Rattus norvegicus: one gene and its partners. The protein of the gene in region 4 purifies or fractionates together with the protein of the main gene of each other region. This does not show direct contact. Links are inferred from orthologs where the notes say so. Each region holds a gene or a part of one and is shown on either strand. Other genes may lie near its edges. The genes, in order: Maml1, Rita1, Fbxo42, Rbpj, Notch2 and Fhl1.

What was found.
Region 1: the proteins of Rbpj (region 4) and Maml1 purify together in Homo sapiens (co-immunoprecipitation; 12 studies listed by BioGRID and IntAct, counting the BioPlex papers as one, with this or other methods). This does not show direct contact. The link is inferred for Rattus norvegicus from reciprocal best matches to the Homo sapiens genes RBPJ and MAML1.
Region 2: the proteins of Rbpj (region 4) and Rita1 purify together in Homo sapiens (affinity purification with mass spectrometry; 4 studies listed by BioGRID and IntAct, with this or other methods). This does not show direct contact. The link is inferred for Rattus norvegicus from reciprocal best matches to the Homo sapiens genes RBPJ and RITA1.
Region 3: the proteins of Rbpj (region 4) and Fbxo42 purify together in Homo sapiens (affinity purification with mass spectrometry; 3 studies listed by BioGRID and IntAct, counting the BioPlex papers as one, with this or other methods). This does not show direct contact. The link is inferred for Rattus norvegicus from reciprocal best matches to the Homo sapiens genes RBPJ and FBXO42.
Region 5: the proteins of Rbpj (region 4) and Notch2 purify together in Homo sapiens (affinity purification with mass spectrometry; 3 studies listed by BioGRID and IntAct, counting the BioPlex papers as one, with this or other methods). This does not show direct contact. The link is inferred for Rattus norvegicus from reciprocal best matches to the Homo sapiens genes RBPJ and NOTCH2.
Region 6: the proteins of Rbpj (region 4) and Fhl1 purify together in Homo sapiens (affinity purification with western blotting; 4 studies listed by BioGRID and IntAct, with this or other methods). This does not show direct contact. The link is inferred for Rattus norvegicus from reciprocal best matches to the Homo sapiens genes RBPJ and FHL1.

Annotation. Positions count from the first base shown.
Region 1 is NC_086028.1:35,121,301-35,125,278, forward strand, and holds the start of Maml1 (mastermind-like protein 1), read right to left. Parts: upstream 2,801-3,978; 5' UTR 2,545-2,800; coding exon 2,209-2,544; intron 1-2,208. UniProt on the Homo sapiens protein: Acts as a transcriptional coactivator for NOTCH proteins. Has been shown to amplify NOTCH-induced transcription of HES1. Enhances phosphorylation and proteolytic turnover of the NOTCH intracellular domain in the nucleus through interaction with CDK8.
Region 2 is NC_086030.1:41,609,748-41,613,763, reverse strand, and holds the start of Rita1 (RBPJ-interacting and tubulin-associated protein 1), read right to left. Parts: upstream 2,801-4,016; 5' UTR 2,572-2,800; intron 2,380-2,571; exon of another isoform or gene 2,377-2,379; 5' UTR 2,254-2,376; intron 2,031-2,253; 5' UTR 1,942-2,030; coding exon 1,673-1,941; intron 140-1,672; coding exon 1-139. Other genes in the region: ATP-dependent RNA helicase DDX54, read left to right, coding at 3,270-3,440. UniProt on the Homo sapiens protein: Tubulin-binding protein that acts as a negative regulator of Notch signaling pathway.
Region 3 is NC_086023.1:158,754,665-158,758,164, forward strand, and holds part of Fbxo42 (F-box only protein 42), read left to right. Parts: intron 1-217; 5' UTR 218-234; coding exon 235-484; intron 485-1,893; coding exon 1,894-2,010; intron 2,011-3,500. UniProt on the Homo sapiens protein: Substrate-recognition component of some SCF (SKP1-CUL1-F-box protein)-type E3 ubiquitin ligase complex. Specifically recognizes p53/TP53, promoting its ubiquitination and degradation.
Region 4 is NC_086032.1:61,563,261-61,566,760, forward strand, and holds part of Rbpj (recombining binding protein suppressor of hairless), read right to left. Parts: intron 519-3,500; coding exon 353-518; intron 1-352. UniProt on the Homo sapiens protein: Transcriptional regulator that plays a central role in Notch signaling, a signaling pathway involved in cell-cell communication that regulates a broad spectrum of cell-fate determinations.
Region 5 is NC_086020.1:188,298,161-188,302,135, reverse strand, and holds the start of Notch2 (neurogenic locus notch homolog protein 2 precursor), read right to left. Parts: upstream 2,801-3,975; 5' UTR 2,639-2,800; coding exon 2,566-2,638; intron 1-2,565. UniProt on the Homo sapiens protein: Functions as a receptor for membrane-bound ligands Jagged-1 (JAG1), Jagged-2 (JAG2) and Delta-1 (DLL1) to regulate cell-fate determination.
Region 6 is NC_086039.1:139,644,996-139,648,495, forward strand, and holds part of Fhl1 (four and a half LIM domains protein 1), read left to right. Parts: intron 1-384; exon of another isoform or gene 385-514; intron 515-1,933; coding exon 1,934-2,115; intron 2,116-3,101; coding exon 3,102-3,276; intron 3,277-3,500.

The DNA of each region.
Region 1 (3,978 bases), on a different chromosome or scaffold from region 4:
ATGCTCAAGCCAGGCCCAGTGTCACTCTCTCTTCCTGCTGCCTATACATCTAGATGTAGAACTTTCAGCCTCCTCTCCAGCACCATGTCTGTCTGCATTGCCACCATGGTTCCCACCTCTGAATTGTAAGGCAGCCCCAATCAAACTGCTGTGGTCATGGTCTCTCCTCATAGCAATAGACACCCCAACTAAGACAAACAATAAGTACAATGTCTTATGCTCAATCCCCCAAAGGGATTGGGGCGAAGGTGGAGATCTTTCAAGAAAGATTGGTTAGTAAGGTGACTCATTCAGTTAAGTCATTTTGGGTAAAGCACACCCAAGTTGGTTATCAACAAGTATATGGATGGCCTAAAATATGAATGGAGGGTTGGGGATTTAGCTCAGTGGTAGAGCGCTTGCCTAGCAAGCGCAAGGCCCTGGGTTTGGTCCCCAGCTCCGAAAAAAAAAAAAGAAAAAAGGAAAAAAAAATATGAATGGAACTTAGCCCAAGCCTTCTCAGGGTCCAAAGCTTACAGTCTACTTGTCAAGACACAGGATGGTTGAAGTAATATGTGACTATGTGCTAAAAACAAAGGGCGTAAGTTGGGCAGTGGTGGTGTACCTCTTTAATCCCAATACTCCAGAGGCAGAGGCAGGTGGATCTCTGAGTTTGAGGTTAGCCTGGTCTACAGAGTGAGTTCCAGAACAGCTAGGGCACACAGAGAAACTGTCTTAAAAAAAAAAAAAAAAAGCAAACCAAACAACAACAAAAAAGCATACAGATAGATATATAGCTATGTATATATATATATACACATATATCTCATAACTGTATTGAGAGAGGAGATTCTACTGTGGGCTGGTTTTTCAGAAACTGCAAAAGAAGATGGGCTGTGGCAGGAAGGATGGCAGGATCCTGAAAATGCTGACAAAAACTCTGCAGGCAGCCTTTTAGTTTGAGAAATTCGCTCACATCCATACTCATGTCTTCTTTCCTCCTGCCTCTGGGCGTGAATCACCACACCTAACCTCAAACTCATTTGATTCCTTCAAGAAAACTAGTAAGAAGCCCAACATACCCTGGATGTACAGGCGGGGAAAGTGAGGATGAAAAGACTCGAGCAGCTGGGTCAGAACCCAAGTGTTCTTCTGACTTCTCGCCCTGCAGTGGGTATAGTGTGGGGAAGAAGGGAAACAATAGCTCTTTGGCACATGGAAAGATAGGCTAGGTCAAGCTGGTCCCGAAAGCCAACCAAAGATTTAACTCAATTCCCTCCAGCCACAGAAGGGTTTCTAACATTTCAGAGGAAGCGTATTAAGTGACTGAAAGACTAACCATTAGTTAGGAAAGAGTTTTACAACGGACCAAGTGAGAGACTATGAAGACATGAATTAGAATTACCGAACAACTTAAGTGTTGTAAAATTTGACTTTTAAACTTTACCAAGAATTTTGTAACACCCATTGCCCCTCCCCCTCCAAACAGGTTTCCGGTTTATAAATCAGTTTCAGGGAGTCAAAACTTCTAACCAATAAATCTCAGGATTAGCAACTAAAACCCAAAGGGCACAGCTGACCAACAAGTAACGTCATTTCCTCCGTTAACAACTATTAATATTATCAGAAGTTTTTAACAAGCTTAGTAGGTTAAATTTGGAACTGTCAATAGTATAGCAGGAATCTCGCGTTCGCAAATTCCCTTTAGGGGGTGGGGGAAGAATGCCTTTTATGCACTTCAGTTTACTGAAGCTTCCAAAGGCTTTTCGATTTTCTATTCAGAAGCCGCAGGATACTGTCAACTGAAGGGAGACTTATTTCCACATTAAAGCCTTAACTAACCTCCACGAAGCAAAGATCCAATCAACATCGGCAGATTAATTGAGGCCAGGCCTAAGGTGCAAGAACGCCCTATATCCTAGGCAACTCCAACACGAGTCGAAGTTCTCATCAGTTGGAAATCGTTTGGGAGAAAAGCCTATCAGCAACTAACCTTCTCCTGCTTTTCCAGCCCCGACTTCGCTCAAAGTCCTCACGGGGACGTTTTCCCAAAAAGTACACCGCAGTGCCACTTCTCGAAGATGACAAGCGCCCTGCCATGTTAGCCTCCTCCCAGGACCCAGACTAAGAAATGGGGGCGCTCGGGGAAGTTTCCCCGAGGCCCGATCCGAGCCGGAAGAGGCGTTTTCGGGAGTGAGTACTGCTGTGGCAGGCGCCAGCCTTACTCACCGCGACCGGGCGGCCGTGCTCCGGGCCGTCCGCTGAGTCCAGGCGCGCAGCCGCTGGGGCCGGGGCGGGGGCCGGAGCGGCTGCCGGGGCCGTGGCGGCGGCGGGCGGCTGCCGGTGCTTGCCGGCGCGCTTGGCCTTGGCCTGGATGCAGCGCTGGTGCAGGGCAAAGGTATGCTGGCGTTCGAGCTCCAGGCGCTCGGGAGACACAGCCTCGTAGCGGGCCTCACAGGTGCTGTGGTGGCGCCGGCACAGCTCGATGCGTCGGCGGAGGCGCTCCATGACCGCGCTGTGCCGCGGCAGCGCGAACTCCGCCATGGGGCAGGTGGGTAGCACCATGGGCCGCGGGCGGCGCTGGCCCGGCCCGGGCCTCCCGGCGCCGGCTGGCACTTCGGGTTCCTCCGCTTTTGGCGGCCCGGATCCGCCTCACGGCCGCGCCATGTCCGGGTGGGCTGTGGAGCAGACTCGGGCGCGGTGGCGGGTCTTCCTCCGGTCCCGCTCGGCCCGATTCCAGGCCAGCGAACACCGCCCGCCTCAGGCTTCGGCCTGTCCGCTATACCCCTGCCCCATTGTTTTCCGCGCCGCTGCCGCCGCCATCTTAAAATTGTTTTCGGGGCTTTCGGAAGAGGGCGGGGCCTGGGCCGGCGAACTCTGCGTCACTGCTGATGGACCCGAGCTATAGCCAATCAAACCAAACCCGCTGCCGGAGGGCGTGGGGGGAAAAGCACGTCAGGAATCTTCGGGTATTTAAACTGAACACTCAGGCTAGGAGGGAAGCCCCGAGGCGGGCTCAGCGTAGCAGAGTGTACTGTGACTGACAGGAACCTATCCAAGAGGAGCCACGTTTTCAGAACACCGCCCCCTTGAAGGCAGTCCCTTCCGGGTTCGTGAGGAACGCGGGGTAAGTAAGTGAGCCTTAAGACTCAGATGCTCAATGCTATCTTTTTAGTCTATCCAGAATATTTCGAAGCCAGCCATTTCTGACCTCATTCCTTACATACAGCCCTGTAATTGATCAGAATTGTTTTGAGCTTCAGTGACCTAGTAGAGATAGGAATCACTAATTGATCAGAATTGTTTTGAGCTTCAGTGACCTAGTAGAGATAGGAATCACTGACAGGTACTGTGAGCAATATCTCATTACTTAAAGTGGGGGGTGGGGTGGAGAGCACTAAATGGTCTTTAGCCTCCTATTGGGAACTAGAGTTATTTAGATCCACAGGAACATACACTTAAAACCGACTGATTTATAAAACTAAATCACTCAAAATTCAATCCAAAGCACTGGGTTCCAGAGATGTCACTAGCAAGCAATTGAGTGAAGGTAAAAAGCCAGGAAAGGACCAAAACATATTCTAGATGGTTACTGAGGAGCAAACTGCCATAGATGATTGGGAGGCTTTGCACTTAAGACCTCATTAGCCAGTCAAACATGTTACCTCTTACTGGAGTTCACGAAAATTTTATTTTTAAAATCACAAGAAAAAAAGCTAACAGCAAAATGTTTTTATACAAATGCAGTAAAAATAAAAACAAAATAAAAACTCCCTTTGGTGAAGGGAGTTGCAAAGATAAATGAGCACTGCTTCTTACCGGTACCCAAACATTACAATTAGCACTCAAGCTAAGTGTAAACAACTTTTGTGTGCAGTGCTGGAAGGCTGAATCCAGGGCCTCATGCATATAGTGCCACTACTACTAAGTACACCCAGCCATTAAACTTTTAGTGTCAGGTACCCCAGACTTTTGCCTGGAACATACTGTATGAGGCTG
Region 2 (4,016 bases), on a different chromosome or scaffold from region 4:
GGTGGCTGGTGGGGTCCAGAAAAGGGTCCGGAGCTTGGCCGCATCCTCCACGGCTGTCCGAGACCTCTCCTTGCTGGTGCCCTGTGGCCGGGAGCCAAACAGTGACTCATCACAGTAGGATGGGGTGTGGCCAATCAACCTGGAAAAGAGAAGGGCAATGACCTTAAAGCCCTCTACAACCTCACTGCCCACCAGACACCAAAGCAGCAGAACCGGACTTATTCTTTAATACAGGTATCAGCCCAAAACAGCTTGGGGCTTCTCTGTCTCATCTCCTAGAGAGGGGAGCAGTCCTAAGAGGAGCACCTCATATGAGCCTCACCATCGAGAGTCCCGATATGGTCATTCATTGATATGGTGGAGGTGGGGGAACAGGGTAGGCCACTCCAGCCCCCTCTGCCCCGCCCCCCCATGAATCTCTATCCGTACACGCTCAAGTCTTGTGCATCAAATGACAGACACCCTCCTGAATCTGCTCGGCTCCAGATTAATGGAGCAATTAGGTCCATTAAGTGCTTCATAAACAGAAGTAGCAGACACTTGTTTAGGGACAATAGGAACGTGGGCCAGCAAGATGGCTCAGTGGGTAAGGGTGCTTGTGGCCAAGACTGACAGCCCGAGTTTTGATCCTCAGGCTCCACATGGTAGAAGGAAAGAACTGACTCCTATAAGTTGTCCTTTGACCTCTACCAGTATACGCCCCCCAACCCAAAAACAGCCAAATACAATTGTACCTTTTTCAAAAAAGTCCATATGAGCTCAATAGAGATACATTTTTTTCTTTGGTTGAATAGTTTTTTCCCCCAAAAAATCTCCTTTGAAGATTTTTAAAAATTTTTATTATTATTGTCCTGTGTATGGTGTGGGTATGTGTGTGTGTATGCAGACAGAGGCGCACAAGTGGAGGTCAGAGGTCAACTCTGGAGTCAGTTCTCTTCCACCTTTATGAAGGTTCCAGCAATCCTAGGCCACCAGGCGCTCGAGGCAAGAACCCTTCCCCACTGAGCCGTCTCACCAGCCCACACCACCGTTCATCCAGACCTTCCCAAGCACCGGTTGCTGTGCCAACATTGCCCCAAGTCTCATTTAACAGCGACACTCATCCCATGTGCCATGAGGAAACACACGGCTCAGAGAACCAAGGCGCTTGGCCATGGCCACACAGCAGGTCCCTAGCACTCAGTCCCAGGAGGCCTGACAGCTACTCTGATGGTCAGTTTCAACTGTCAACTTGGCAGGATCTAGAACCACGGAGAGCGGCCCGCAGAGAGTGATCCGCTAAGTCAGGCTGGCCCTCGGGCATGCCTACGACAGGCCTTCCCTTTAGCACTGGTGTTTAATGTGCATGCGCACCCACAGGCAAGTCCGTGTGCACCATGTGGGGTGTCAGATGCACATGCCCCAGATGTCAGAAGAGGTGGGTCACATGCCCTGGGACTGAAAGTAAGAGAAAGTGCTGAGCAGCAAACACACAACATGACCAGCCATCTCCACCCCACACTGCTGAGACTTCTTATAACTACGGAGAGCCACTCAAGCCGTCTGTGAGCCAGAATAAACCCTTTCTTGCCCAAGTTTCTTCTGCCAAGAGTATTTCATCAGGGCAATCAGGAAAGGGACCAAGACGGCCACCCTCAGTACAGGAGTGCAATGCTACCACCCCCAACCTTACCTGTATTTGTTTTTCTTCCTTGGTGTGAGATTTGGGGTGCTGCCCCTGGAGGAGGGAGACTCACAGTCTCTCTTGGCCAGAGAGACCTTCGGGGGTCCTGGGCTCACTCCTCTAGATCTGTTACAATTCTGCACCCAGGGTGGGTCAAAGTCTGGTAGAGTTGGCCGGGTTCCTGTTGGGCTGCCAAACAGGGTCTCATCCACATAGGATGCCCTGGCCTTGACCCGGTAGCTGCGCGGGTTGCGGTGCTGAAGGTGGAGTGCCTGCATTCCGACGCTGGGCCAGTTCCACCTCCACCGGGGTCTTCAGGCTGCCCAGTGGATTTACTGTGCCTGCCAGATTCAGCCTCCAGGGCTCCCTGGAGGGTCAGAGTGAGCTAAGGGCAGGGCCAAGTAAGAGTAGCTTCTTGCAATAACAAACCCAAGGGCAAAGGGGGCTTTTTCTTGCTGAGGGAAAGCGACTGTTGTTCAGTGGGCACCTCGGAAATGCTTCACTTTCTGGCCCCTCCCCTACCCGGTTTCAGTAGCCCAAGGTGGCCTGAAACCCATTATATTGAAGTCTATTATATAGCCAAGAATGACCTTTAACTCCGGATCCTCCCGCTTCTACTTCCCACGAAGAACTGCACGACCGCCTGGCGTCTGAGGTGCATGGGTTCGAACCCCGTGCTTTGTGCATGCCGCAGGCTAAGCAGGCACTCCTGTCTTCTTAGTTGTGACAGGGGGAAATGCCGTCAGCAAATATTTAATGAATAAATAGATACACAATTATAGCCTACAGTGTATGCTCAACAAATATTTATAGAACGACTATGGGCGTGCAGGGGAATGGCACCAGACAAACTAATTACGGTGGAAGAGGGAAAGGGGCTCCCAAGCCACTGTCGCCCCCATGCCTACCTTGTGCAAAGCGCTTTGCAAGCGTGGTGCGTTCTAGTCCTCGCCAACCGGTCCTTCAGATTAAATCCATTTTCCCCAATTACAACTCAGGCTCCAAACAGCGGAGTAGCACACACCAGACAGCTTACAAAGCGGAAAGCGCAGGCGTCCCGGGAATTTCATGCTAGGAGCTTTTCCTACTGGGACCTCTGGCCAGCAAGCATAATCTTCGCCACAAATGCCCGCATAGCACAAAATCCGCAGCCGCGCCCCGGCGACACGCGCCCACATACAGCCCTTGCTGGGCAACAGGAGTGAAGCCCCGCCCCTGCGCACTGGTACATCCCGCCCTCGCGCTGATGGTACGTTCCACGGGCCACACCCCCTCTCATGCGTGCATCCATTGGGCCCCGCCCTGGGGGGCTGCCCTGCGTAGTTGGTACATTCCTCAAAGCTTCCACACGTTGAGTTGTATGTTCCTGAGGCTCTGCTCTCTCCACATCTATCCTAACTATTAGCGTTTGGTGTCCTTGCAAATTAGTAGGTCTCCTAAGCGCCTATCACTGTTCAGTTGGTACAATCCGCCCCCACTAGTTGGTATGTCCCTCAGGCCCCGCCTCTGCCCGGCTGGTACAACTCTTAGGCCCCGCCTTCGTCCCCGACGCCACTCATGCGTCCCACAGGCTCCGCCCTCTTCCGGGTCCGAGTGCCCGGCCCGCATGGCTGCCGGCAGACGTGTGGGGCTTGGCCCGCGGTCGCATCCCGCCATGGCTCCGTGGAAGAAGAAGAGGCTGCGGAAACGCCGAACTGGGGCTTCCCAGGCCCGCGACAGCGATTCGGAGGACGGCGAGTTCGAGATCCAAGCAGAGGATGACGCCCGGGCGCGGAAGGTAATAACGCGGGGGTCCTGGTCGGGCCCTCGGCCTGCGCCCTTCCGCCCGTCCGTCTCACTAATCGCGGGCCCTTATTGGGTCTCTTCGCGTAGGGGGCGGGGTCCAGTTTATACAGCCAATAGAAAGTGCATGTGCGGAAGGTCCGCCTGAGTTTTGGGCGGTCTTAGATGGTAAAATTAAAGGAGAGACCGGACCACACTTCTGAGAAGCGGGTTTTAAACTAACCTAGTATTTACGGACTTTTGTGGTGCTTCAACTGTGCAAGGCTCATCAGCACTGACAGAGGGGACAGCAGGATTGAAACTGGGGATGGTCTTGGTTCCATATGTAGCCATTTGGGGAGACAGGCGTGAGCGCCAAGTGGAGCCGAAAAGCCTACCGTTCACGATGCCCGTCGTCTTGTGCTTAGCGGGTATCTCTAGTTCTCCATTTCTCCTTCCCAGCTCAGTCAGTAAATTAGGTGGTCAGTAAATGTGCAAACACTGCTAGAGGCAATGAGAAGGCATGTGTTCATCGGCAAATACAATAAAGCTGCTCACGTGGTTCAGACCAAGGGTTTTGCTGAGGCTCAGC
Region 3 (3,500 bases), on a different chromosome or scaffold from region 4:
TTTAAGATTATATGGGACTTGTGTGCCATTCTAGGGGGAGGGAGGATGCTATGGGCTTGGCATTTGAACTCCACCTATCAAATTAATATGGACCCAACCAGTATGGGAAGGTGTGGAGCAGTTTCATGCTGTGCGAAGGGGACCATGAGCAACTCAGGGGCTCAGTGTTTGTGTGCTTCTGCAGGCTGTACACTGATGTTTACTTCTTACCCTCTAGAGCTTCAAGTGTGTGTCATGGCCAGCTCCTCAGACAGTGAAGATGACAGTTTCATGGCCGTGGACCAAGAAGAAACTGCACTGGAAGGGACAATGGAGCAAGATGAGGACCCACACCCAGTATTGGAGGTTGAGGAAACAAGACATAATAGGTCCATGTCTGAGCTGCCAGAAGAGGTTTTGGAGTATATCCTGTCCTTCCTCTCACCATATCAGGAACACAAAACCGCAGCTCTGGTCTGCAAGCAGTGGTATCGGCTTATCAAAGGTACAAGTGTTTCAAAGAGGTGTGTGTGTGTGTGTGTGTGTGTGTGTGTGTGTGTGTGTGTGTGTCTGTCTGTCTGTCTGTCTGTCTGTCTGTCTCTGTGTATGTACATGTGTGCAGGTGCCTATGGAGGCCAGGAGAGAGCATCAGATCCACTGGATCTTGAGTTACAGGATCTGTGAGCCACCTGTGTGGGAGCTGGGATTGAACTCTGTCTCCTACAAGAACAGCGAGAGCTCAACCACAGAGCCCTGGCTGTGTCCATTCTTAGTGAGCAGTTTAGCTTTAGACTCCTCCCTCCCTGTCTTCTCTCCCTTAAAGACATTGTATTTAAAGAGTTGAATTTAGTATTAGATAAGTTAACACAGTTTTCTTCCTGTCTTGGTTAATTTATGAACAGCTAGAATACTAATTTAGTATTTGCATCTATATCCGTGTTTTATGTACAATGCCTGGTGCTTGTGGAGGTCAAAGAGGGCATCAGACCTCCAGAACTGGAGTTACAGATAGCCGTAGGCCTGGTAAGTGTGTCTGTTAACCGTGACTGTGTATATATGTATGTGTTGTATGTACTCGTTAGTGTGAGTACATGTATGTGAACGTATGTGTGTGGCCACCAGAGGTTGACTTTTAGTGTCTTTCCTCAATTGCTCCTGATCTTCATTTTTTTAAAATATTTTTTAATCCCCATTTCTAGTGGGGATAATGGAGATATTTTAATATATGCTTAAATATAAAGGAAGAGAGAGAGGTGTGCTGGACAGGTGGCTTAACATGGCACGTGGCTTTAATCCCAGCCCTCAAGAGTTCACGGCTGGATTTTGTGAACTTCACATAGGTGCTAGGAATCGAACTCAGGACCTCAGGAAGAGCAGCCAGTGCCCTTAACCACTGAGCCATCTCCAGCCCACTCAAGCTCTTAACCTTTAAGAGACAGTTCTTAGACATAGTCAACATCTCATAACCTGTTACGTAGTAATCTACTTATATGATCTCGCTTAACTGGAGAATTCTGATTGTTGTGATCCAACCGCAGATGCTTTTTAAGCAGCTGTTGTGCTGTAGACAGTGCTTTGTCGTATTTCTTCGCAAAGATGAGTCATTTCTCAGCCCCTCTGCTTTGCAGTAAAGGCCACCAGTTTCTTTATTGCCTCGTGGTAAACATGAGGACAAGGATGATCACGTGACCTGATGCAGTAACTCTCTTAACTGTCTATGGCTTGATAAAAGCAGTTCTTTCCATTTTGACATTCCTTGATTGTTTCCTTTCTTTGAACAAAAATGAGAAATTTCGACTTCCTCAAAACATTTATGACATACACTGTGATACAACAGTTTAAAAAGACAATTGTAATGATTTCCCCTTTGAAGTTAGTATCTAAGCTGATGCCTTTGGTTTTTCTCATCTTTAGGTGTAGCCCACCAGTGTTACCATGGTTTCATGAAGGCTGTCCAGGAAGGAAACATTCAGTGGGAGAGCCGAACTTACCCTTATCCCGGAACCCCCATCACTCAGCGCTTCTCCCACAGTGAGTACCCATGGTGACAGAGCAAGTCCCACACTGCCTGTGCTGTGTTTCTAGAAATGGTCTTGGAGGCATGCCTTTGTCTGGCTTTTTTTTTTTCTTTTCTTTTTTTTCGGAGCTGGGGACCAAACCCAGGGCCTTGCGCTTGCTAGGCAAGCGTTCTACCACTGAGCTAAACCCCTAACCCCCTTTGTCTGGCTTTTAAGTGAAGAGACGGTAAAGTGAGAGTTCCTAACAGAATGAGGAAGAAGTGAGTGTGGACATGAGGTACGGCCTGATGGAGAACTCAGCGGCACAGGGCTTGCCCAGGAAGGCCCAGGTTCAGTTCCGTCCCTGACACCCTGACAGATACAGTGCTAGGGCTTGTTAATGTTACATTATGCTGTTTAATTTGACTGTACTCCTGCTTCAGCTCCTGAAGGTGATGGTTTCGGGCATGTGCCACCATCCCTGTCTAGAGTTTGAGCTTTTGGTAGGAAGGAGCATGTATTGGTTACCCAGGCCATAAAAAAGCAGCCCTAAAACGTAGCAGTTTAAACAGTATTTCTTACCTGTTCTTGAAGGTCTGAGATTTGGAGATGGTCATGATTTCTGATTTAGAAGTGTCATTGAGAGAGGCCTAAGGGGTTTTTTGTTTGTTTTTTAAAGATTTATTTATTTCATGTATATGAGTACACTATCGCTGTCTTCAGACACACCAGATCCCATTACATGTGGTTGTGAGTCACCATGTGGTTGCTGGGAATTGAACTCAGGACCTCTGACCACTGAACCATCTCTCCAGCCTGTGGCCTAAGGTTTTTGTTTTTTGTTTTGTTTTGTTTTGTTTTGTTTTTTCTTTTCTATTTTTCGGAGCTGGGGACCGAACCCAGGGCCTTGTGCTTGCTAGGCAAGCGCTCTACCACTGAGCTAAATCCCCAACCCCTGGCCTAAGGTTTTTACTGATAGAACCTGTCACACTGTCAGCTGCTTACTGTATTACTGAGAGGGTGTCTGAGACAGAAGCTAGAGTAGTCTTCACAATCTCTGAACTAAGTGCATCTCTTCTGTTCTATTTTCTTGGTCACACAGAGATTGACAGGAGTTGTAAACACCAGGAGGTGAGGCTCCTCAGTGCCACCAGCCCCCAGATCTTTTGCTATACTTGTCTGAAGATGTTCAGAAATAGTTAGGACTTGTTTCTTGCTTTGGTGTTGGATGAAAGTAGACCAAGGAGACAGATGAAGGGAGCTACCCATTCACTAATGCTGCTCAGGGGGGGACACCTATGAGCCCTCCATGGGACTTGATGAAATCAGAACTGTGAGTGTGTGACAGTGAAGAACGCTGGTGTGTGACAGTGAGGGCTGGCGAGATGGCTCAGCAGGTGAAGGGGCTTGCTGCTGTCATTACCTGAGTTCCATCTCTAGGAGCCACATGGTGGAAGAAAGCCAACTCCTGCTGGTTGTCTGTTAACTGAGAGTTGTCCTCTGACCTCCACACTTATACTGTGG
Region 4 (3,500 bases):
GCCTCCTGCTGCTGCCTTTATTTACTTATTTTATGTATATGAGTACACTGTTGATCTCTTCAGACACATCAGAAGAGGGCATATCAGATCCCATTACAGATGGTTGTGAGCCACCATGTGGTTGCTGGGAATTGAACTCAGGATCTCTGGAAGAGCAGCCAGTGCTCTTAAGCAGTGAGCCATCTCTCCAGCTCTGGTGCTGCCTATGCACTCTATGAGTCACCAGGCCACAGCCATCCTGAAGGTGTCTTTGTGATTCTGATATACACATTAAGTGTAATAAACACTGGTGTGAAAAAAAACTAAAATAAATACCGCAAGAATGAACGCGGAATGTATGTTTTGAATTTACCTTCCCTTCCAAGTTCAGCTGCTGCATTTCTTGGTCACTATTTCCTATTCCAATAAATGCACAGGGTTGAGACTCTTGTTCAGAACAACCATCTCGTTCCATTTGTTCTTTTTTTTTCTTCCAACCACTGCCCATAAGATACACACAAGGAGGAGGGCAAAAAAATCTGGGGGAAAAAATGGCAGAAAAATTAAATTCAAGATCATACTTCATTTTTTAACAAATATGAATTCAAAATCATATTTAAATATACTAAATTGGTTCCTTACAAAACATTTTGGTCATTTATAAAGCAAATCATGTCAAAAGGACTGAAATAAACTTTTTTTAATCTGTTCTAATAAAAACTGAGGACTTAGACCACTAGTTAGATTAGTTCTGCTTTAAGCAGAACTTTGAATTCTTACAGCTCAAGGCTCTACTCTACTGAAATTTGGCAAACAAGGCACAAAACATAATAGATCACTACAGAATCTGTGATTACTAAGTTCTAGCCAAGACAACAGCATCATTAACTTTAATGCTATTCTTGTCATATTACATTATTTGGCAATTCACCTGGAAAATAGCATTAAAGTAACATCACAAGTAAGACAACTAAGGAAAAGACAAAAGACTGCTTGATGTGAGTTCCATAAAGAGCCCGTGTTTCATGTACCTTAGCCCCTGAACACCTGCTTTCAGGACTGAGAAACTTCTTGGACCAAAAGAACAACACACCGTATTTCTTCAGCTCATGACTACCAACAGACTTGTTCATCTGTGTCCCAAAAAGCATCCTCAAGTTCTCTCCACATACAATGACTTTGTTATAACCTAACAATGGAACTATGGATTTATCTCTTATGTAGGGCAGAATGTACTTGTCCAATGATAATGTAATATACTTCTGCCTAATGACACCCACTGATATGTACATACCTTAAATGTTGTGTCCTGTCCCTTTCTAGAGAGGCCTGAAGACTCAAATGACTAGTTTTTTTTTTTTTTTTTCCCGGAGCTGGGGACCGAACCCAGGGCCTTGCGCTTGCTAGGCAAGCGCTCTACCACTGAGCTAAATCCCCAACCGCTCACTGTGCTAAATCCCCAACCCCTCAAATGACTAGTGACCAGGCAAACAGTATAAATGGTGAACAGGTGTATAGTTAACATGTAGAAGTATCTTCACTCAAAGAACTACCGTCCTTCTTCCCCTCTTTCTTAAAACAAAAGGCCCTCTTGGTAATTCCTACTTTTTGTATAGTTATAAATACATAAGTGTTTCTTGATTCTGCTAATCCTACTATAAGCAAAAGAGCCTAACTGTAACAATAGTCAATAAGTTCCAATTATAAGAAAGTAACAGGGGAAGATGGCCACGCATGTGGATATGTACTAACTTACACTGCAGAATCATGAGCACATGGGCCTACTACTGGCCAGTGACATCTTCTAGTCAACTGATACTGGGAGTCAAATTTTACCTGAACCCCAGACTAAGAAAAGTAAATTGTGTTGTTGAGCATGGTGGTGCATGCCTTGAATTCCAGCACTTGGAGGCAGAGGCAGGCAGAGCTCTGTGAATTTGGGGCCAGTCTGGTCTACACAGTGAGCTCCAGGATAGTCAGAACTATAGAGATAGAGCTAGAAAAACAGATAAACAAACACACAAGCAAATAAACAAACGAACAGAACATTTGCCTGTGCCTCACAGTCTCGGGTCTGTGAGGATATACGCAGTGTGCGTCTTCAGCAAACCAAGAAGAACATGAACTCAACTGCCTCCAAAGGTACCAGCACCTTCTTTACTCAACCCTGATCAGGTGAGCTTTTACATAACTGACACATATAATGTACAAGAAGTAAGCTGAAATGATTCAGTGTTTATTAGTTCTTCAAATACCTATTATACCCCCAGGTGCCAGGAATATAATGAAACCAGCAACATCAAACAAAATTGCTCTCATGGAACTTAACTAACAAGAGGCGGGGATGGGGGTGGGTATAAAGTTAATATAAAAATAGAGACTCTGTTAGCTAGTAGTAAGAATCCTGGCTTTACAAAAAAAGTCAGGATAGGGTGGCTAAAATATGGACTGTCTGGGGCTGGGGATTTAGCTCAGTGGTAGAGCGCTTACCTAGGAAGCGCAAGGCCCTGGGTTCGGTCCCCAGCTCCAAAAAAAAGAACCAAAAAAATAAATAAATATATATATATGGACTGTCTGAGGCAGCCAGGGAAAACATCCTTACGGAGGTAACTTGTGGCATTTAAAATAAAGGAAGACAAAGCACAGAAGCAGTGGCTGGTTAGAAGGGGATCAACCATGGCAAGGAAGTCTGAGGCAAAAAAGGTTGAGCAGCCCAAGTGTGTCCTGGAAAGAGTTCGTTCGGAGCGAGTAGGAAGCCTCTGCGGTATTTCTGTAATATCTAATTAAGCAACAGAGAACAAGAGGAGCGTTCATGCTTGCATGCTCACACTCGAAGCTAAGAATATCAAGGTCATGGTCCAGGTACTGGGTCCAGGTCCAGGTCATTCCACGTGTAGAGATGCTTATACTGGCTGGGCATGTTTTGTAATTGGTTCAGTTTACTTCTGTACCAGGGATCTTTCAGGCTTACAGTGGCTACCAAATACACAGCATGGCACATCTCAAGCACCTAGGCCAATACCTTCTCAGGAACTTCATTCCCATCTTAGTGTTTTATTGGGCACTGAATATTAAAACTCATTGGTGAACTAGTATTATCAAACCTGAATGATTTGATATTACTGATTAATATATTATCACAAAATGTACTTTTATTTCGCATCTGAAGGCTATATGTACACAGAAATGATAAAGGAACAAATATTAAAATATTCATGGAAGTACAGTTAAAAAAACAAAGGAAATTAACAGCATTATTAGTCAAAATAATTGTTTATATATAGCTATCTAAAACTCTGATCAAATCCAGGCATTAGTAGTACATGCCTTTACTCACAGGCAAGGAAGGCAGATTTCTGTGAGTCTGAGGCCAGCCTAGTCTACTCAGTGAGTTCCAGAAGAGCATAGCCAAGGCTATAGGGATATATCCTGACCCAAAAAACAAAAACAAAAACAAAAACAAAAAACAAAAACCCAAAACAACCCACAAACAAAAAACACCACACAGATCACAATTCTAC
Region 5 (3,975 bases), on a different chromosome or scaffold from region 4:
AAAGCCTTTTATTATTATTATTATTATTATTATTATTATTATTATTATTACAGATTCTCAGGCCTCCTGTGTCAGAACACAAGGGTGCTGAGTGTAGGGCCCACAGCAATGGGTCTGCTGCAGCCAGGACATGCAGCTAGCTCTTGGCCTCCACAATGGAAGGGGCAGGGAGGAAGGTCACCAGGAATGGCAGAGTGGGAACTAGATCAATGCAAATTTTGTGGGCAAAATAAAATTTCTGTGGGTGTGATATTTTTAAAATGTATTGTAAGGTTGCTCTCAAGCATCGAAGCATATCCCACTGCACTTAGACATTCTTTAAAGGTCCTGAAATCAGTGACAGCCTGGGTGAGCCAAGGCTGCCCCTCTGGGCAACACAAATCCACAGAGGAGGAAGAAAAGAGATCCCAACAAAATACCGGTATATATTTTTCAAACACCATAAAATGAGAGATTCTGTAACCAATCGCTCCCTCCTCCCTCCAAGAAAGAAAAACGGGAAATAGTTACAGGGTGAATTTCATCTCACCCTAAAGGAAAAAAGCTTGCTCTTTTGTGATAGGGATTCAACTGACAAAGTGTCTAGGTGACAGTAAAACCAGGGAATCACTCCCACTGCAGAGCAAAGAAAAAACAAAAGTAAGGGGTGGTCCAGAGCCGTTCAGAAGCTCACACAGATGGGTTGACAGCTCCTTGCCTTAGGAATCAGTGATGTTCAAATTAACAACTGGCCACAAGCCAAACATGGGAACACTCAAAAGTTAGGGAGGGAGAGTTATAATTGGTACCTTGGCAAAATACCCCCATAATAGATTAGGAAGCTTCCCTGCTAGACCCTGGGAAGATTTAAGATTTGCAACAGCAACGAACTCTTTAATCTCTTTTATGAGAATAGTTTAGCATCTAAAGAACATCTGTCTAAAACCCAAAATACCTAAATTTGAGCCAGCTGGACTAACACTCAACTTGACCCCCAGGGATAGTAAAGGCCAGCAAGAGCAGAAGCAGGGGCATCAGTTGAATGCACTGGGGTTCAACACGTCAGGAAAGCCCATGGACCAGCCTCATCCTGTTTCTGTTGCCAGTGACTGGTGAGTCTCTTTACGGCCCTAGGTATTAGTCCCCAAAGTACTCAGAAAAAAAAAAAAGTTATGCTTTTAATCCTCTTTCATAAGGGAAAGACACAGATCATGAAGACTAAAGTTATTTACTGTGTAAAACAAGTCACGGGGGAACCAAGCACTGTAATCCTCAGAAAAATCACACTAATTATACACCTCTTTACCCTAAATCTACACTTAGGGCTAACAGCTTCATTCAAAGAAAAAGGGTAAGGCAAAATGCCATCGTTGAGTTTTTAGGAAAAGTCTTGGAAACCGTTCATCCTAAACAGGCTCCTTGGTCCACTTCTGACAACCTGCGGACCCAGCAATGTAAGTCATTTGAACTTTTCAAAAAGTATCTGGTTGATGCTGAACAAGCCAGCACTGTTTGCAGGTGATAAATAATCGAGTCCTCAAAGCATCTGGAATTGGCATGTCCGCTGCTTGCTACAATGAACAAAGCCCGGATTTTTCTGAAACTCATCCTTTCTCTGAAAAAGATGTCGTAGGGGTTTTCTGGTAAAAAGCTAACTGTTCTTGAGTTAAAGGAGGACCCTACCAGTTCATCGAACACTGTGTACAAGTCATACTCCCCACTGGAAGCACAAACTTCACCCAGAAAGACCAAACCGCTGCCCCTGTCCTAAAAGAACTTTTCTCAATATCTTTTAAGCGCTACGGGTTTAATATACATTCTTTTAATTAATCCTATTAGCTGGGTAATTTCATCCCCATTTTATTGGTGAGTTAATACAGCAGATTTGAATCCAGGATTACAGAGCTGGGCTCCAAAGTTCTTTCCATACAACATTCCAAAGAAACGTAAGATCTAAAGATGTGGGTGGAATGGGCAAAGTATGATTCGATTTCCTTTCCTGGCTCCCACCGTGTTAGAGAGGGGGCAAGGAATATCCCACCATAACGAGCCTTTCTAAGCAAGCGCTACGAATCAACCACTGTCTCCACTTTTCCTCGCCTGCCCCCGCCCCTGCCCCACCCCCAACGGTGCCAAAAGAGCAGCAAGCTGCTGCCAGGTCGGAGGAGTTGGGGATCGTCACACCACATTCCTGGGGCTGGACGCACACTGGAACCGCAGCCGAGCTCCGCGCCTCGGAAAGAATAACAGCAGTTGAGATTTTCAATCATGTGGCTCAGCACGCTGCCACACCAGTTCCCCCACTGCTGCCTCCACCTCTCCAAGACCTAAGCCCCACGCCCAACTCCTCCTCCGGACAGACCGACCGATCCGGGTGTCAAAAGTTGGGAACGCCGCAAGCCCCCGCCGCCCTCCCAATCATACTCGCACCTCGGCCCGCGAGCTGCTCGCCCGAGACCCCGCTAACGCGGAACCCGAGACGCTACGCGTTGCCAAGACTCGAGGCCCGGACCAGGCAGTTTGGAAGGCGCAGCCCCCGGAGCGCGCAGTGGCAGAGGGATGGTCTCCCGGGCGCCTGGTACTCACCGTGCGCGGGGCCCGCGCCGCACAGCCAGAGCCACAGCAGCGCCCGCAGCGCGGCGGGACGCAGAGCGGGCATCTTCACTGCCGCAGCCAAAGCAGATCCGCATGGGGAGCGGGTCCCGACCAGGAGCCCCGCTCTCGCGTGCTCTACCCTGCCCCCGCGGCTCGCCGAGTCCAGGAGCTGCCGCTACGCCGCCCCGGCACTCCGCGCAGCCAGGCCGCCGCCCGAAGTTTGGCTGAAAGTTTCTGGCTGAGCCGCGCGGCAGAGTGGCCCGCGTGTCCTTCCGCCTCGGCCTCCTCCCACCGCGAGGCTCCGCCCCCGTCGCCGCCGCGTGCCCAGGGGTTTCCCGCAGAAAGAAGCGCCGGTCCGCTGCGCGCGGAGGGATCTGAGCGAACAGCACTTGGTACTCGGCCCGCCCGGCCGCCTGGCCCGCCCGTGAGCTCCGATAAGGGGTTGGCTGAAGCGACCAACATCAAACGCGAGGGTTTGCGCGGATCCTGAACTTGTAAAGAGAGGCAGACCTCATGCCCCACACACCCACACACTCCTTGGCTGATTAGAGAAATGAGGGAGAGCAGACACGGGGCTGTCAACGGAAAGTAGGCGCCAAAGTCCTCTTAAGGGGACATTCCTTGAGATGCTCTGGGCATTTCGTTCATTCATCTATTCATCCATCCATCTTTGGTTCTTTTAGTGAACTTCCTGTAGCAAGATGCTTGGGACCCTGGGATCATCCACTCTAGGGTCTAGGATAATTTAGGGGAGGCTTTCAAAAGACAGGTATCCTGACAACAGAAGCCTGAAACTCTAGTCAAAGTGTAGAAAATGGTAAGAACCAGAATACTCTTTGTAACCTATTAATAGCTGCGAGTTAAGAGTGACCTAAATGCCCCACCCTTGGGGGCTAGGTGAATAATTCGTAATTATAAGTGAGGTGCAATACGACTGAAAATATCACCTTCATATACGTCAACCGTAAAACCAAAATGATGATGAAAACACAAATTGCAGAGCAAGACTCTAAGAATACCATTCACATATCTTATGGTTGTTTGTGTACATCGTTTTTAAATGACAGATAAAGCTATAACCCTAACTAGTTCTTTCCAACGTGAGTGTGGACTGTGATCTAGCCTGGGTATAGATGAGTTTGTAGAGTATATGAAACTGGCCACTACAAGGAATTGCATGAACCACACAGGACTATCTATTTCTGTCTTAACTACACTGCGAAATCTTTACCGCCAAAGACCATGGTCGTCACCATCAGTGCCTATCACATAGTAGATGGTGACCTAGAATGCAGAATACAAGTGAATATGGGTGTGAACATTAAAACTGCATTTTGAGAAGTGCTTTAGGATCTGGGGAAATGGCTCAGAGGGTAAGAGGGCTTGCTGTGCAAGCACAAG
Region 6 (3,500 bases), on a different chromosome or scaffold from region 4:
GGGTGACTCAAGGAGATCGGGCAGGCTTCCTTGTGTGTGTGTAGTTTGTGTCTACCTAGATACACAAGACAACATTGCATAGGGTTCTTAGAGAAAAGCACGGGCAAGGGCTAGTTTCTCATTTTCTCTATTGACTTGACAGTGATATAACTGTGCCAAGCAAAGGTCATTTTACAGAAATGTCACTCATGTACTTCCTGTGTCAGTTCTCTGACATGAGGGCCTGGGTGGTGGATGTGTCTGTCAGTGGACGTTGTGTATGTTCCATGGCCCTACTTTCCCTTGTGGAGAGAGCCTGACATAAGAGAGTGACAGTCCAAATGAGAGTTCACCAGCCTCGGCCCAAGCGCGTTCCCAGACAAAGGGTGTGGTTTCCTTAGCTCACTCTGCTATTTGGTTGCCCATGGCAGCAGAATCCAAACAACTTGGACATGTGGTTGCTTTTAAAAAAAAAAACCTGGGAATAGAACCCAGAGCAGGAGTTTGGGGCCATTCAGTTGGTGGAAGAGCTGCGGTGAGTAGCAGGCAACTGCTCATTTCTTTCTCCATTCTTTCTCTCAAGTACACGCAGGATGAATAGTTTCAGTTCAAATGGTCTCAGTTCTTGTGGTTCTAACACAAATTAAATAATTACTGTCTATTTACTTATGCAAATTCCTTTTTTAATGGGAGAAGAAAATTAGCATATGTGTAAAGAAAGTGGGACTAATAGAAACCCTTCCTGGTGGCAGGATTCTCTAGAAAAATGACTTGGCAAAGGGACCGACAGCAGAGGACCTTAGCGGGGCTCTGGGCTTCTGTAGGCTTGTTACTTAGGGTTGCCTAGGAACACAGCTGGGGTGCTGGTGGACAGTGAAGGGAGTGGAGGGAGGACGACGTTCTCGGAATGATTGGATTAGCCCTTTGCAAAAGTCGGATTTCCACATTATACTTAAAACTTCTGCTGTGGGGAACAGCGGCTATACCAAAAAGTAATACTTGCTCGGATAGGCCAGCCCTCACTGTCTGGACCCGAGAGAGATTTGACTTTAATGTGTCCCCAAACCATACTTCACTGTGACAAATCATTCATAATTGCAGAGTGTGCCCAGGCCAGGCGAGAATGCCCAGACCTCAGCCACTAGGAAACTATCTGGGACAAAACTCTCTGGGATCTTTTCAAGGAGTAAAACATTTGAAACAAGTTCATGAGGGCTGCATGTGTGCCTGGGTGGGTGGGTGGGTGGGTGGGGAATATGACTTAGCTGTTAAGTTTCTGTTTGGATTAATAGAACTGTATAGACAGGAGGGAAGTGAGACCACCTGAAAATATTTGCCCCCACCCTAAAAGGTGACAGAATATGGCGTCAGAGCTGGCAGGAAGGCTTCTGGCTTGCTGTGTGGTGGGCAGCCGTGGGAGCAGTGGTTCCATGCCCTGCTCTGCCCCATTCTTTTGAACTGTCTGTGCAAGCGAGTAAGACATCTTGTGGACCAGTGCTGTGGTGCACACAGTACACCTGCCTTGCCCAATAGTCTTTTATTTTTTCTGCTCTACCTTACCCTCCCATTCCCCTTTCCATTCTTGGTTACTTTTCAACAATGTGTGAATCTCCCAGAATCCTCCTGTGTGGTGACCTTAGCCAGCATAAGGTCTGGCCCACTTGCTCTCCTCTGAGTCAGCACAGTGATTTCTGACATGTCCCCAGGGAGTTACTGGCCCTTTGTGTGTGACACTTAAGAGTTCGAATCAGAAGCGTTTTCTTCCTGGGAGCCATAGTGAAGCATCTGTTGCTGTGACACTTGGTAATTAGCCAGGCTTAAGTGGAAGCTCCACCCTGAGGACTCGGTTTTCCTAGGTACATGCGCAGTAGTGCACTGGGACCTCCAGGGCCTCGTATGGCTGAGCATCTTTGTGGTCTCCTTACTCATTTGTTCTACTTCTTTGCCCCTATAGGTCCCTCCAGCTATAAGGTGGGCACCATGTCTGAGAAGTTCGACTGTCACTACTGCAGGGACCCCTTGCAGGGGAAGAAGTATGTGCAGAAGGATGGCCGTCACTGCTGCCTGAAGTGCTTTGACAAGTTCTGCGCCAACACCTGCGTGGAATGCCGCAAGCCCATAAGCGCTGATGCTAAGGTAACTGTTGTAGCTGATGGGGCAACGGGGCAGGCTGGGTGGGCTTCAGGTGTTTTCCTGTAGCCTTGCCAGCAGCGCTGCCATTTTGAATTCTCCTCACAGCAGCCTTGACTACTTGAGGCAGGTGTTTCTCATGTCCCTAGCTTAAAATATATATGATATGGTCTTTGGACGCGATGGTCTGTTAAGGCACTGCGAGTATAGGTTTGATAGCCTTTATCTGAAATGGCTAGCAAGAGAAGTGTTTGGCGCTTTTTTTTTTTTTTTTTGGATTTCTTATTTTATAATACTTCTCCATATTTAATGAAGGCTCTTGATAATGATACTCAAGTCTAAACCCAAAATTCATTTACATTTGTAAATGTACATATGTACTCTATGTACATAGCCTGAAGGTGATGTTATACAGTGTTTTTTAAATTAATATAATTCTGTCATTTCCCCCCTTTCCCTTTTCTCCCTCCCACCCCTTTTGAGCATTGCCCAGCTCCTGCATGCTTCCTCTCGAATTCATCCTCTCTGGCCTCCTTTTGTTGTCTGTGGAATGGCATTTATGCACTGCAGCTGAATAGACTGGAGGGTCTTACTTTCCCCAGGGACACAGAATAAACTGTGTGTTGTGCTTTGACACTGTGACTGTGCCCTGGCCCGTGAGACCAGATGTGTCCTTTTCTCCTTCTGAGATCTGTCTGTTAACCCTTAAAGCGCTTGAGATTCCGGAGCCTTTTGGATTGCAGATTTGTGATGGGGGCTTTCCCCCCACTACTCTTATGTGCTTTGGGAACTGGGAGGCTTTCGTCTTCACTACAGTACTACTCTTCCTGTTACTCCTAAAAGCACTCACCACAGGGCATCCCCGCATGGAGGGGGCTGACATTGGCGTGAGTAGTTACCTGGCCCTGGAGAACCTCGTATCTAATGGTAAGGCTGCGGCCACTGGTCCCAGTGCCCCTCACAGTGGCCACCCTGCTCTGCTTGATGTCCAGGAGGTGCACTATAAGAATCGCTACTGGCACGACACCTGCTTCCGCTGTGCCAAGTGCCTTCACCCCTTGGCCAGTGAGACCTTTGTGTCCAAGGATGGCAAGATCCTGTGCAACAAGTGCGCCACTCGGGAGGACTCCCCCAGGTGCAAAGGGTGCTTCAAGGCCATTGTGGCAGGTACTGGCCCCTCCCACCCTGAGGGCAGACATGCTGTGTGCTTGCTTGTCATGTTGGGGCTAACTTTGCTGTGAGCTGCTTTGAGATTTTAGCATATATATGTACCCATATACATACGTGTATATATATGCGTACATATATATGCTCACACACAAGCACACACTCGGAGACTAACGAACACTGGAGAGAACAGTCTGTGGCAAGAGAATGAAGTGAAAAGTATG